2 linked regions of the Arabidopsis thaliana genome follow. The protein of the gene in region 1 interacts with the protein of each later gene in a biochemical or structural test. Each region holds a gene or a part of one and is shown in the gene's direction. Other genes may lie near its edges. The genes, in order: UFD1 and PI4K GAMMA 4.

Region 1 (5,215 bases):
CTTCGATGTCTTTGGTATCACCACCGTGTTCCTCTGAATTCCCCACCTCAGGACAATCTGTGCCACTGTCTGTTTGTACTTCTCGGCCACATCCTATGAATTCAGACAGACAAAAGGTTTAATTATTTAACTGTTTCAGTCCAAACTTTTAAGGTTTAGAGGATGGGGCTTACTTTGAGAACTGGGTCATCCAGACATGACACGGTGCCAAACCATTCGGCATTGGCTGTGGCACCTCCCAGAGGAGTATGAGCAGTGACACAGATACCATGTTTCTGGCAGAATTTGACTAGAGAATCGCGTTGGAAGTAAGGATGTGTCTCGATCTGATTCACAGCAGGTTTGATCTTGGAGTAAGCCAAGCAATCTCTCGTTAGAAAGACATCATAGTTACTGCAAAAAACCTAATGGTCAAATAATTCATATATTGGCGACTAAACAAGAGAACTTGTAATGATAGTGAGAGAAGTTGAACCTGATTCCAATGCTGCGGACTAAACCCATAGAAACAAGCTTTTCCATGTCGTGCCATGTAGTTTCCAGAGAGATTGTTGTATCTATGTCCAATACCCCATCATCCCCCAAAGCACTATCGGTTGTTCCTATTCCTGCACAAGGCTTACATGTTACAGCTTATTACTCTGTGTGCCAATTGCTAGAGACTTGAGAAAACTTAATTTTCCAGCCAGTAACAAGGCTGAAATGCAATGGTCTCTACTCGAAACTGATAATATTCATGAACAAGGCTGAAGCCTAACCCGTGTGTTTTGTAGCTATGGGTATATGAACGAGGAAAAGGTCGAGGTAATCAAGTTGAAGTTTCTTGAGACTGTCTTTGCATGCCTCAATAACATGGCCATGGTCTGAACTCCATAGCTGCAAAACCAAGACAGAGAGCATTCGATCTGAAATGAACTGATATCAAAGGTATGTAGTAGTTTAACTTAAAGCCGTTTGGACCTTAGTCGTAATGAAGAGATCCTCCCTCTTGACAAGACCTGTCGTGAATGCTTCTGTAAGAGCCTCACCAACTTCAGCTTCGTTCTTATAATTAGCTGAACCAAGTAACCCCAAAAGATACTCATAAATCAGGATACAGAACAAAGCAACTCACTCACATGCAAAGAAACAAAAACAATTGTCTGTGATACAGCAAAGACTTAAGATCATTCTACGATTCCAAATTTCCAAATACTTAAAAACCCAAATCTTAAGACATAATTTCCAAGTAAGATTCCAACTTTCAACAAATTAAAACAAAACCTAATATTTTATTCACATATCCTGACAAACCCGAAGCAACAAAGATCAGAAAGAAAAGGTTTTAAGCAGTGTTAAGTTATACCAGCACAGTCGAGATGACGATAACCGATCTTGATGGCATCGATGATAAGGTCTCGAAGCTCTTCTTTCTCCATTCTCCAAACTCCTAAGCCGATGATCGGCATTTTGAAGCCACTGTTCAGTGTAATCTCCATTTCTTCTTCTTGCTTCTCTCCTCAATCCGTGATTGGGTAGATATCTGCTCAGAATTGAGAGTTTCCCAGTATGGTAAGTTGGTAACGCACACGTCAATATAAAGTGGTCATGATTCCTCACTATTCGAGGCCCAATGGGCTAGTACCGTTTTTTGTGAAGCCCAAACTGTTTTACAAAGACATGAATCAATACGCACCGTATGGGTATATATATATACAAGCAACGTTATCACAGGTCCTCAAAGTTTGCATCTTTACTTGGGTTGTGTCTGGAATCAATTACTTCCTAAAGGTAATTTTATTGGTCGGGCAGCTCAATCGGTGGTTTCTGAGTTCTTATTCTTCTCTGATAATCTCAAGACGAGCTTTTAATTTTGTAAAGTTTTTAGCTTTGGTATTGTTTGTATCGATCCCACTCTCAACTTTTGATCGGAATCTTCTGTTCTGGGGATTTCCGGTGAATTGTTTAGGAATAGGTTTCCAAGGATCTTACTTGGGTTTGTTTCAAAAGGTGGGATTTTGCAAGTTGTAGATGGTTCTTCGATTTTGTAGGTTTCTATTCTTCTGCTGAGATTCGAAATTGAGGTCTTAGGTTTTTGATAATAGCTTGTTTAGTTATCTGTTAAAGTCACTAACTTTGATGTTCCTTCCGGTCGGAATTGTTGGCCACAATTGATTATTGAAACCCTTAAATTAAAGAGTGCCCTCTTTTTCTCTTTTATGATTTGGATCTCTTGTAATTGACTTGTGTGAGGTTTCTTTTTCTGTAGGTTGCCATTTGTTAACTTACTCTGTTAGTCTACTACCACCAATAACTATGGTAAGTGTATTCAAAGCTTTCCTTTTTAACCGTTAGTCTTCACTCTAGCTTTTATATCTCGCACCCTTGGTTTGTTTGTCTAAACCTTTGGAATTTAAACTCGATGCAGTTTTTCGATGGATACCATTATCATGGAACAACCTTTGAGCAGAGTTACCGGTGTTATCCGGCATCTTTTATCGACAAGGTTTGATTTCATCTCTCTACTTTTAGTTTAATTCCCTGATAAGTGAATCTGAGAGTGCTCTTTTGTAATGTTAGAATCTTAGTCGTTGTCATGTTCTACTAAGTAAGTTCTATAAGAAAGCTGAGATCTAGTATCTAATTTCTATTTCCTTTTCTCTTCCCTGCAGCCACAACTTGAAAGTGGTGACAAGAGTAAGTCTTCTATCTAGACACCAATGTTTGTTTCCATCTGTATTGTTCAAGCCTGAGGTTTTAATTTGTGTTAATTCTATTTCAGTTATAATGCCACCATCAGCCCTTGATCGTCTAGGTATGCTCCTACTGGTTTTCTCTTTTGGATTTGGTCTAATATTTGTTTAACTTAGAAACATATCAAATCGCTAATATTGGGGACTTTACAGCCTCTTTGCATATTGACTATCCGATGCTGTTTGAGCTTCGTAATGCTGGAATTGAACGTGTTACACACTGTGGAGTCCTTGAGTTCATTGCAGAAGAAGGCATGATTTACATGCCATATTGGGTAAGAATCAGTTTCCTCTTTGTTTGTGAATCGAAGTACTCTGGATCATGTGGACTTACCAGACTGATTGTTTGCTTCTTTGATATAATCCAGATGATGCAGAATCTGCTGCTGCAAGAAGGAGACATTGTGAGAGTTAGAAATGTCACTCTTCCAAAGGGAACTTACGTTAAACTACAGCCCCACACAACAGACTTCCTGGATATATCCAACCCGAAAGCCATGTGAGTCCGACTTATTTCTACCCTCTTGTATTTGAGCCCTCATATACTTTCCCACATCATGTTGTTTATTGCTTAGAGAATGTATTATTATATCTAAGTTCTTCCCGTTTTCTGGCTCGTAGTTGTTTGATGTCACTCTTTTTATCTTGTTCCCAATATTCTTTACTGATAATTGAGTGAACGTTGCAGCTTGGAGACTGCTTTGAGAAATTATTCATGCCTAACTAGTGGGGATAGCATTATGGTTCCATACAACAATAAGAAGTACTTCATAGATATAGTTGAAACAAAGCCTGCTAACGCAATCAGCATCATAGAAACAGACTGTGAGGTTGATTTCGCACCTCCCCTCGATTACAAGGAGCCTGAACGTCCCACAGCACCTTCTGCAGCTAAGGGTCCGGCAAAAGGTATCTATCCATGGACATGAAATCATCAGATGGACTTACTATCAGCTTCAAGTTGTTAGATTCTCATGTGTTCTTTTCTTTCCAAATTTCACAGCTGAGGAGGTTGTGGATGAACCTGAACCAAAGTTCAACCCTTTCACCGGATCTGGAAGACGGTTAGATGGGAGACCTCTTGCCTATGAGCCAGCGCCAGCCTCTAGCTCAAAAGGCAAACAACCTGTTGTCGCTAATGGTAATGGACAGTCATCTGTAGCAAGTAGCTCAGAGAAAGCTACACGAGCTCAGGGAAAGCTTGTATTTGGGGCTAACGGAAACCGTGCTCCAAAAGAAGCTGCTCCGAAAGTACGCATTCAGAGTTTATTGATAATTGACAAAACAAAAACTGTAATGGAATTGAGAGACAAATGCATATGATTGTTCATCTCTTAATTTTTTTTTTCAGGTTGGAGCTGCAAAAGAGACAAAGAAAGAGGAACAAGAGAAGAAAGACGAGCCCAAGTTTCAAGCTTTCTCTGGGAAGAAGTATTCATTGAGGGGTTGATCAACTCACACAATGGGTCTACTCAGTCTATTTATGACCTCTCATGTTGTGTACTAAAAATACAAGGAAAACAAATAAGTGAATAAATCTCTGGCTCCTCTTGACGCGGCTTGTTTTCTTTATCAGATTCAATGCAACTTTCTACAATTCTCTGCTCTTTTATATTCTTACTGTAGGATATAAGATTCTGAGCACCTCACTAACATAATGTGTTCATGAATAGCAAGCCATGCTCTGTAGCTCTTTACCAATGAACCAATGACCAAAGAACATAGATGAGAAAGATGCTATGTCTGAGTTATAATATCCTCAACACATCTGTGATCTCTGGTTTCTGAGATAACACCGAAAACACTTTTTACCATAAATACATTTCTCGAGTTTTACTCAAAAAGAAAGATATAGAGACGAAAAGAAAAGAATATCTTGTTTTTCTGGGGATTTTCTGTGATCAAAACCAATTTTACAAAGATGCTTATGTGTGTCACCTTATTGCATAATGGCTCTGAGTGCATCCTTCACGTATTTATACTTGAATTCAAAACCAAGCTCTTTGGCTCTTACAGGTAATACCTTCTGTCCCTCCAGAACTACAGTGGCACCTTCTCCGAGCAAAGCTTTGAGTGCAAAGTCAGGAACTGGTAGCCACGATGGTCGGCTAAGAACACTGCCTAGCTGCTGGCACATTTCCCCAAGCCTAACCGGATTCGGCGCAGTCCCATTAATAACTCCTGCCAACAACCAGCACCAATAGCATTATGCTTCCCTTGACCTATTCTTAAAAGGTAACATAGAGGACAAGTATGTATGTTGTTACCTTTATAAGATGGATTAGTGAGGGCCTCGTAAATTAAGTTCACCAAGTCATCCACGTGAATCCAAGAGAACCTACACAATGAATTATGGAAATATGATATGATCTTCAAATTCGTAGAGAGACATTCAATAGATAACCAGAAAAAGCATCCAACGTTTACCATTGTTGTCCGGAACCCAGAGGTCCTCCAGCAAACATTTGGAAAAAGGGTATCAT
Region 2 (5,129 bases), about 10 Mb from region 1:
TTCATTAACTTTATTTAGACCATTGATTCACATATTTGTATCTTGGGAAAATATTTCCTATACTTTAGAAAATCAAATAAAGTATGAAAGATATTTGACTTCTCTTTCTTTGTTATGGATGCTTTATTCAGTTACAATTTGGGATCCATTCTTTTTTTTTTTCAAATAAAGCAATAGTTATAACAAGTTAATATTATCCAATCAATGTTATTCAGGTAAATATTTGATTAATTATCTTGTAGAATGTTCATGTACATTTGAATTTTGAAGTGACCAAATCTTATATATTGGTCATGAATATGATATATTGACATTTCAAGAGACTGAGCTAAAAATTACTTAAAAATGAGAATCAATTATTTTTTTTCCATTGGTCCATTATTTTATGCAATGCAGCACATAATAATCTATTTTGGTTTTGGTTTGGGCTTCTGGTAGTTCTGAAAAGCCCAGTATAAAGCCCAACTCCATTAATGCATCTTCACCTCTACGACGAGAATTGTGCTTCCGATTCATTTCACATAGGGTTTGTTTCTCCGATCAGATCCAATTTCAATCCTTCTCCGTCAGATTATCTCCTCGGCCACGATGTCTCTCCGCCGCACTATCCTCGATCTCCACCGTCAAACCCAGAGAGCCACTCTCTCAAAGTCTCTACCTTTCTCGATGAGTCACATCTCCTCCGCATCCGCCACCGCCGCCGTGAGAAACCCACTGGGAAGAGACCTCTCTTCAATCCCCTTCGCACAAGCCCAGAAACTGAAACCAGATTCAACCAATCTCGTCACCGATCGCTCGATTTCGTCTTCAATTGGGCAATCTGAACTCAACAAGGCAGCCAAATTCTCGCGTCAATCGTCTTCTCGAGGTTACACTAATGGCTCTTTCTTACGCAAAATCCCTGTAGTCTTTCACATACATGAAGGAATGGAAGAGATTTTGGCGGATTATGTTCACCAAGAAATGACAAGGAATTTGATTGTGATGTCTTTGGGATTGTTCCAGATTATCGTTCTTAAAGATATTATCTTGTTTCTTCTCTGAAACCAAGTAAACATCTTTTGGGATCTAAGGAACACTCTCGATCATCATCACCTGTTAATGAATGAATAGTGTGGGCTAAAAAAAAGGTCTTTCCTTTTATCTTCTTTGTTTTATGAATAAGAACTTGATGCAATGTTGCATTTTTACCTTCAAGCTTTTGTTGTGTGTTGTTTCAGTTTCTGGTTTCGTGTATTTGATTCTGTAAGGCTTAAAATGGAATTCTAAGCCTGTTAATCTTTTGATTGAATAATGACAACTTTTCTCAGCTTTGAGGATCATTTAATCACTACGTTTGCATTTCGAATTTAGCTTTACTGTAATCAGAAGCACGAGAGACTTACGTGAGTTTTGCAGTAGAAAAGTTGTGGTTTTTACCAAGTAGATGGTTTGATTATATACAACTTTTGAAGAGATTTTCTGGTTTTGGATTTGGTGTGATCATTATAAAGGTGATGGAGACTCTCAAGAAGTCACAAACAGAGAATTGTCGATGTTATGTTTACTTAGATCAAACATGAGATTTTGAAGATATAAAGCTATCAAATTGAATCTTAGTTAGATGTTCATGAACCTGGTTAAGATGCAACTGGACCAACAATATTCATGTTCCATAGCAGAAAGCCTGAAAGGTTGAATAGAACAAAGGGATATGAAACGAGTTAAAGAAGCGAATTAAAAGGCCCATCTTTTTATCTGTAGGCCCATACGAATTACGATTGTACTGGTTCATTGATTCAAATACTAACTCTCTCCTTATCCGAAGTTTTAAAAGCATCCTAATCCAAAACGGTGAAATAATGACGATTAAAACCCCAAAGTCTCTGGCTTGGTTTCCACTCCAAGGGTAAAATACAAAACAAAATCAACGAAACTGCCGTACACCGTTGACAATAAACAAAGGAAAAGTGTACATTAAAGAAGAAGAAGAAGAAGCTTCATTGTACGCGTCACCTACGCGAACGAGGTGGAGACACGTGTCCTTCCTACCACTTTCCTTTTGAAAAACCTCTCTCTCTTTCCTCTAAACTCTTTTGACCCTTGTTTCGCGAGCTGTTTTGTACGCCATTAGATTGAACCCTAAAAACTCTATTATTGGATTGGATCATCATCGTTAAAGCTCCACGCCTTGTCCCAATTTCCTCTTTGGTTCTTTCCTTCTGGTAAGAATCCGCTCTCTTTCTCTCTTTCTTTTTTCTTCATATGGTACGTCATCGGCGACATCAATTGGCTCGATTTGATTCACCTGTAGCTATCAATCAATCCCTGATCTGTTTAGGTTTGATCTCCTCTGTTTTTTCCTAGGGCTTGTTATTGTTGTTTCTCGAAAAAGAAGAAGAAGCGATGGTATTGGGATTTTAGGGATTATTGCGGTTTGTTGTATATATATATATAGAAGCTGAGGGATTTTGTGTTGTGAAGAACATCGAATCCTGTTTTTTTCCGTAAGAAAGTTCTTAGATTTCTCCAAGTGAAAGAAGATGTCATCAGCTGGTGTTGCGTTAAGTCCGGTTCGTAGCGAGCCATTGATTATGCCTCTGGTTCGTGCCAATTCTTGTCTTGATTCTTATCCTGACGACACCATCATGATTTACCTTACACTTCCTGGATCGGTGATACCAATGCGAGTGCTTGAGTCTGATTCCATTGAGTCTGTTAAGCTTCGGATTCAGTCTTACCGCGGCTTTGTTGTGAGGAATCAGAAGCTTGTTTTCGGTGGTCGAGAGCTAGCTAGAAGCAATTCTAATATGCGTGATTATGGTGTTAGTGAAGGCAACATTCTCCACTTGGTTCTTAAGCTCTCTGATCTTCAGGTTCTTGATGTTAAGACTACCTGTGGGAAACACTGCAGGTTTCATGTCGAGAGAGGGAGAAACATTGGGTATGTGAAGAAGCAGATTTCGAAAAAGCGTGGAGACTTTGTTGATCCTGATGAACAGGAGATTCTTTACGAAGGTGAGAAGTTGGAAGACCAGAGTCTTATTAATGACATTTGTAGAAACGATGACTCGGTTTTGCATCTGCTTGTGCGGAGATCTGCTAAAGTTCGAGTTAAGCCGGTGGAGAAGAACTTTGAGTTGTCTATTGTTGCCCCACAAGCAAAAGATAAGAAGGGTCGTGAAGCTAAGAGCATTGTGCCACCAAAAAAGCTTTCTTTGGAGCCGGTAGTTGTTAACTCCAAGGCTAAAGTACCTCTGGTGGTTAAAGATATGATTCAGTCTGCTTCTGATGGACTTAAAAGTGGGAATTCTCCGGTCAGGTCAAGCGAAGGTACGGGAGGAGCTTATTTCATGCAGGGTCCATCTGGCAACAAATTTGTGGGTGTGTTTAAGCCAATAGATGAGGAACCAATGGCTGAGAACAATCCTCAGGGTTTACCACTTTCGCCAAACGGTGAAGGTTTGAAGAAAGGAACAAAGGTTGGAGAAGGTGCATTAAGGGAAGTCGCTGCATACATTTTGGATCATCCCAAAAGTGGAAACAAATCTATGTTTGGTGAAGAGATAGGTTTTGCTGGTGTACCTCCCACAGCTATGATTGAATGTTTGCATCCAGGGTTTAACCATCCCAAAGGAATCAAAACCAAGATTGGATCACTTCAGATGTTTACTGAGAACGATGGCAGCTGTGAAGATATGGGTCCACTTTCATTTCCAGTAGAAGAAGTTCATAAGATTTCTGTGTTGGATATTAGACTGGCCAACGCAGACAGACATGGTGGGAACATTTTGATGACCAAGGACGAAAGCGGGAAGCTCGTTTTGGTTCCTATAGACCATGGATACTGCTTGCCTGAAAGCGTAAGTGCTCTTACTCTTTTTCTATTCTTTCTTGGATTCAGTTTTGCCTATAGTGTTCATTGTCATGAAACTAACTTTTGTTTTCGTCATCAGTTTGAAGATTGCACGTTTGAGTGGCTATATTGGCCACAAGCCCGGAAACCGTACTCTGCAGAGACCCAAGAGTACATAAGATCACTGGACGCAGAGGAAGATATTGATCTACTAAAGTTTCATGGATGGAAAATGCCGGCAGAGACGGCTCAAACGCTCAGAATCTCAACGATGCTACTGAAGAAAGGAGTGGAAAGAGGACTAACAGCATTTGAGATTGGAACCATAATGTGCAGAGAAACACTTAGCAAGAAGTCTCTGGTGGAGGAAATGGTAGAGGAAGCTCAAGAAGCTGTGCTTCCAGGGACGAGCGAAGCTGCATTCCTCGAAGCCCTATCCGATGTGATGGATTACCATCTCGATCACTCTCAGGAACACTAAAAATGGTTCTTGTTTAATTCAAAACTCTGGTATATACTCTTTGGTTTGCTTTTTATAAACCTGTTGGCTTTTGTATTTTTAAAACTTTTTCATTTCTGTCATTCTTTGGACATGTTCAAGGTGTTTTGTTAACTTCACTCAGACATATTTCATGGTAATGACAATTTAAGTGTTTACAATAGTTTTCTCTCTTTGTAAGATTTAGCTCTTCTCTACGATATACATGTCTCTCTGTTAATAAGCAATGAATGACGTCAAATCTACTGTGAAACTCCAAAACTGTCAAAATCTTACAGGAACTTCAAAAGGCAAATCGATGAGAACGAAACTCAAAGATGAGCAGAAGCAATTCACAATCGTTACTTTCGTATTGAATCTGCTCTTCCTGTAGCTCTTTTTGATGTCTCTGTTTTCTCAAGTCTTTCATGTCATTGAGCTTCGCTTTGAATTCCTTAAGGTACCAAGGTCCGATCATCCTCTTCCTATTCGAAAAGATACACATAAGCCATGCTTTGCATCGCAGGCGATTCCAAAGACCCGGTACAGCTTCCATGACAGAATCCAAAGCTTCACCAAGCCTTTCAGTTGTGCTTACCACGTTCAAAACGCAAGACCATCGCAGGGGCCAAGGTTTTCGTTTAAATATTAACAAGGTTTGTTTGTTAGCGAGCATCATCTAAAGAGAACAAATACAATCTTTCTATAGATCCTCCGACTATAATGTTCTTAGTCTAACCAACAAAATAAATATTGTTATCTTAAAGAAAGTGTGTGCTTAGGGTTCTCATGATTTGAATTATAACATGTCTCCAT

The links.
Region 2: of the proteins of UFD1 (region 1) and PI4K GAMMA 4, one has a biochemical effect on the other in vitro, tested with the Arabidopsis thaliana proteins (one study listed by BioGRID).

Annotation. Positions count from the first base shown.
Region 1 is NC_003071.7:9,105,831-9,111,045, forward strand, and holds UFD1 (ubiquitin fusion degradation 1), read left to right. Parts: upstream 1-1,735; 5' UTR 1,736-2,010; coding exon 2,011-2,026; exon of another isoform or gene 2,027-2,248; coding exon 2,249-2,298; intron 2,299-2,407; coding exon 2,408-2,485; intron 2,486-2,651; coding exon 2,652-2,676; intron 2,677-2,761; coding exon 2,762-2,794; intron 2,795-2,885; coding exon 2,886-3,007; intron 3,008-3,100; coding exon 3,101-3,231; intron 3,232-3,420; coding exon 3,421-3,641; intron 3,642-3,735; coding exon 3,736-3,983; intron 3,984-4,083; coding exon 4,084-4,182; 3' UTR 4,183-4,431; downstream 4,432-5,215. Other genes in the region: AT2G21260 (NAD(P)-linked oxidoreductase superfamily protein), read right to left, coding at 1-93, 174-393, 476-608, 759-876, 961-1,055, 1,346-1,478; SULA (NAD(P)-binding Rossmann-fold superfamily protein), read right to left, coding at 4,672-4,913, 5,000-5,070, 5,160-5,215.
Region 2 is NC_003071.7:19,085,928-19,091,056, reverse strand, and holds PI4K GAMMA 4 (phosphoinositide 4-kinase gamma 4), read left to right. Parts: upstream 1-1,827; 5' UTR 1,828-2,204; exon of another isoform or gene 2,205-2,346; 5' UTR 2,347-2,522; coding exon 2,523-3,842; intron 3,843-3,935; coding exon 3,936-4,316; 3' UTR 4,317-4,565; downstream 4,566-5,129. Other genes in the region: SDH4 (succinate dehydrogenase subunit 4), read left to right, coding at 589-1,044. UniProt on the Arabidopsis thaliana protein: The phosphorylation of phosphatidylinositol (PI) to PI4P is the first committed step in the generation of phosphatidylinositol 4,5-bisphosphate (PIP2), a precursor of the second messenger inositol 1,4,5-trisphosphate (InsP3).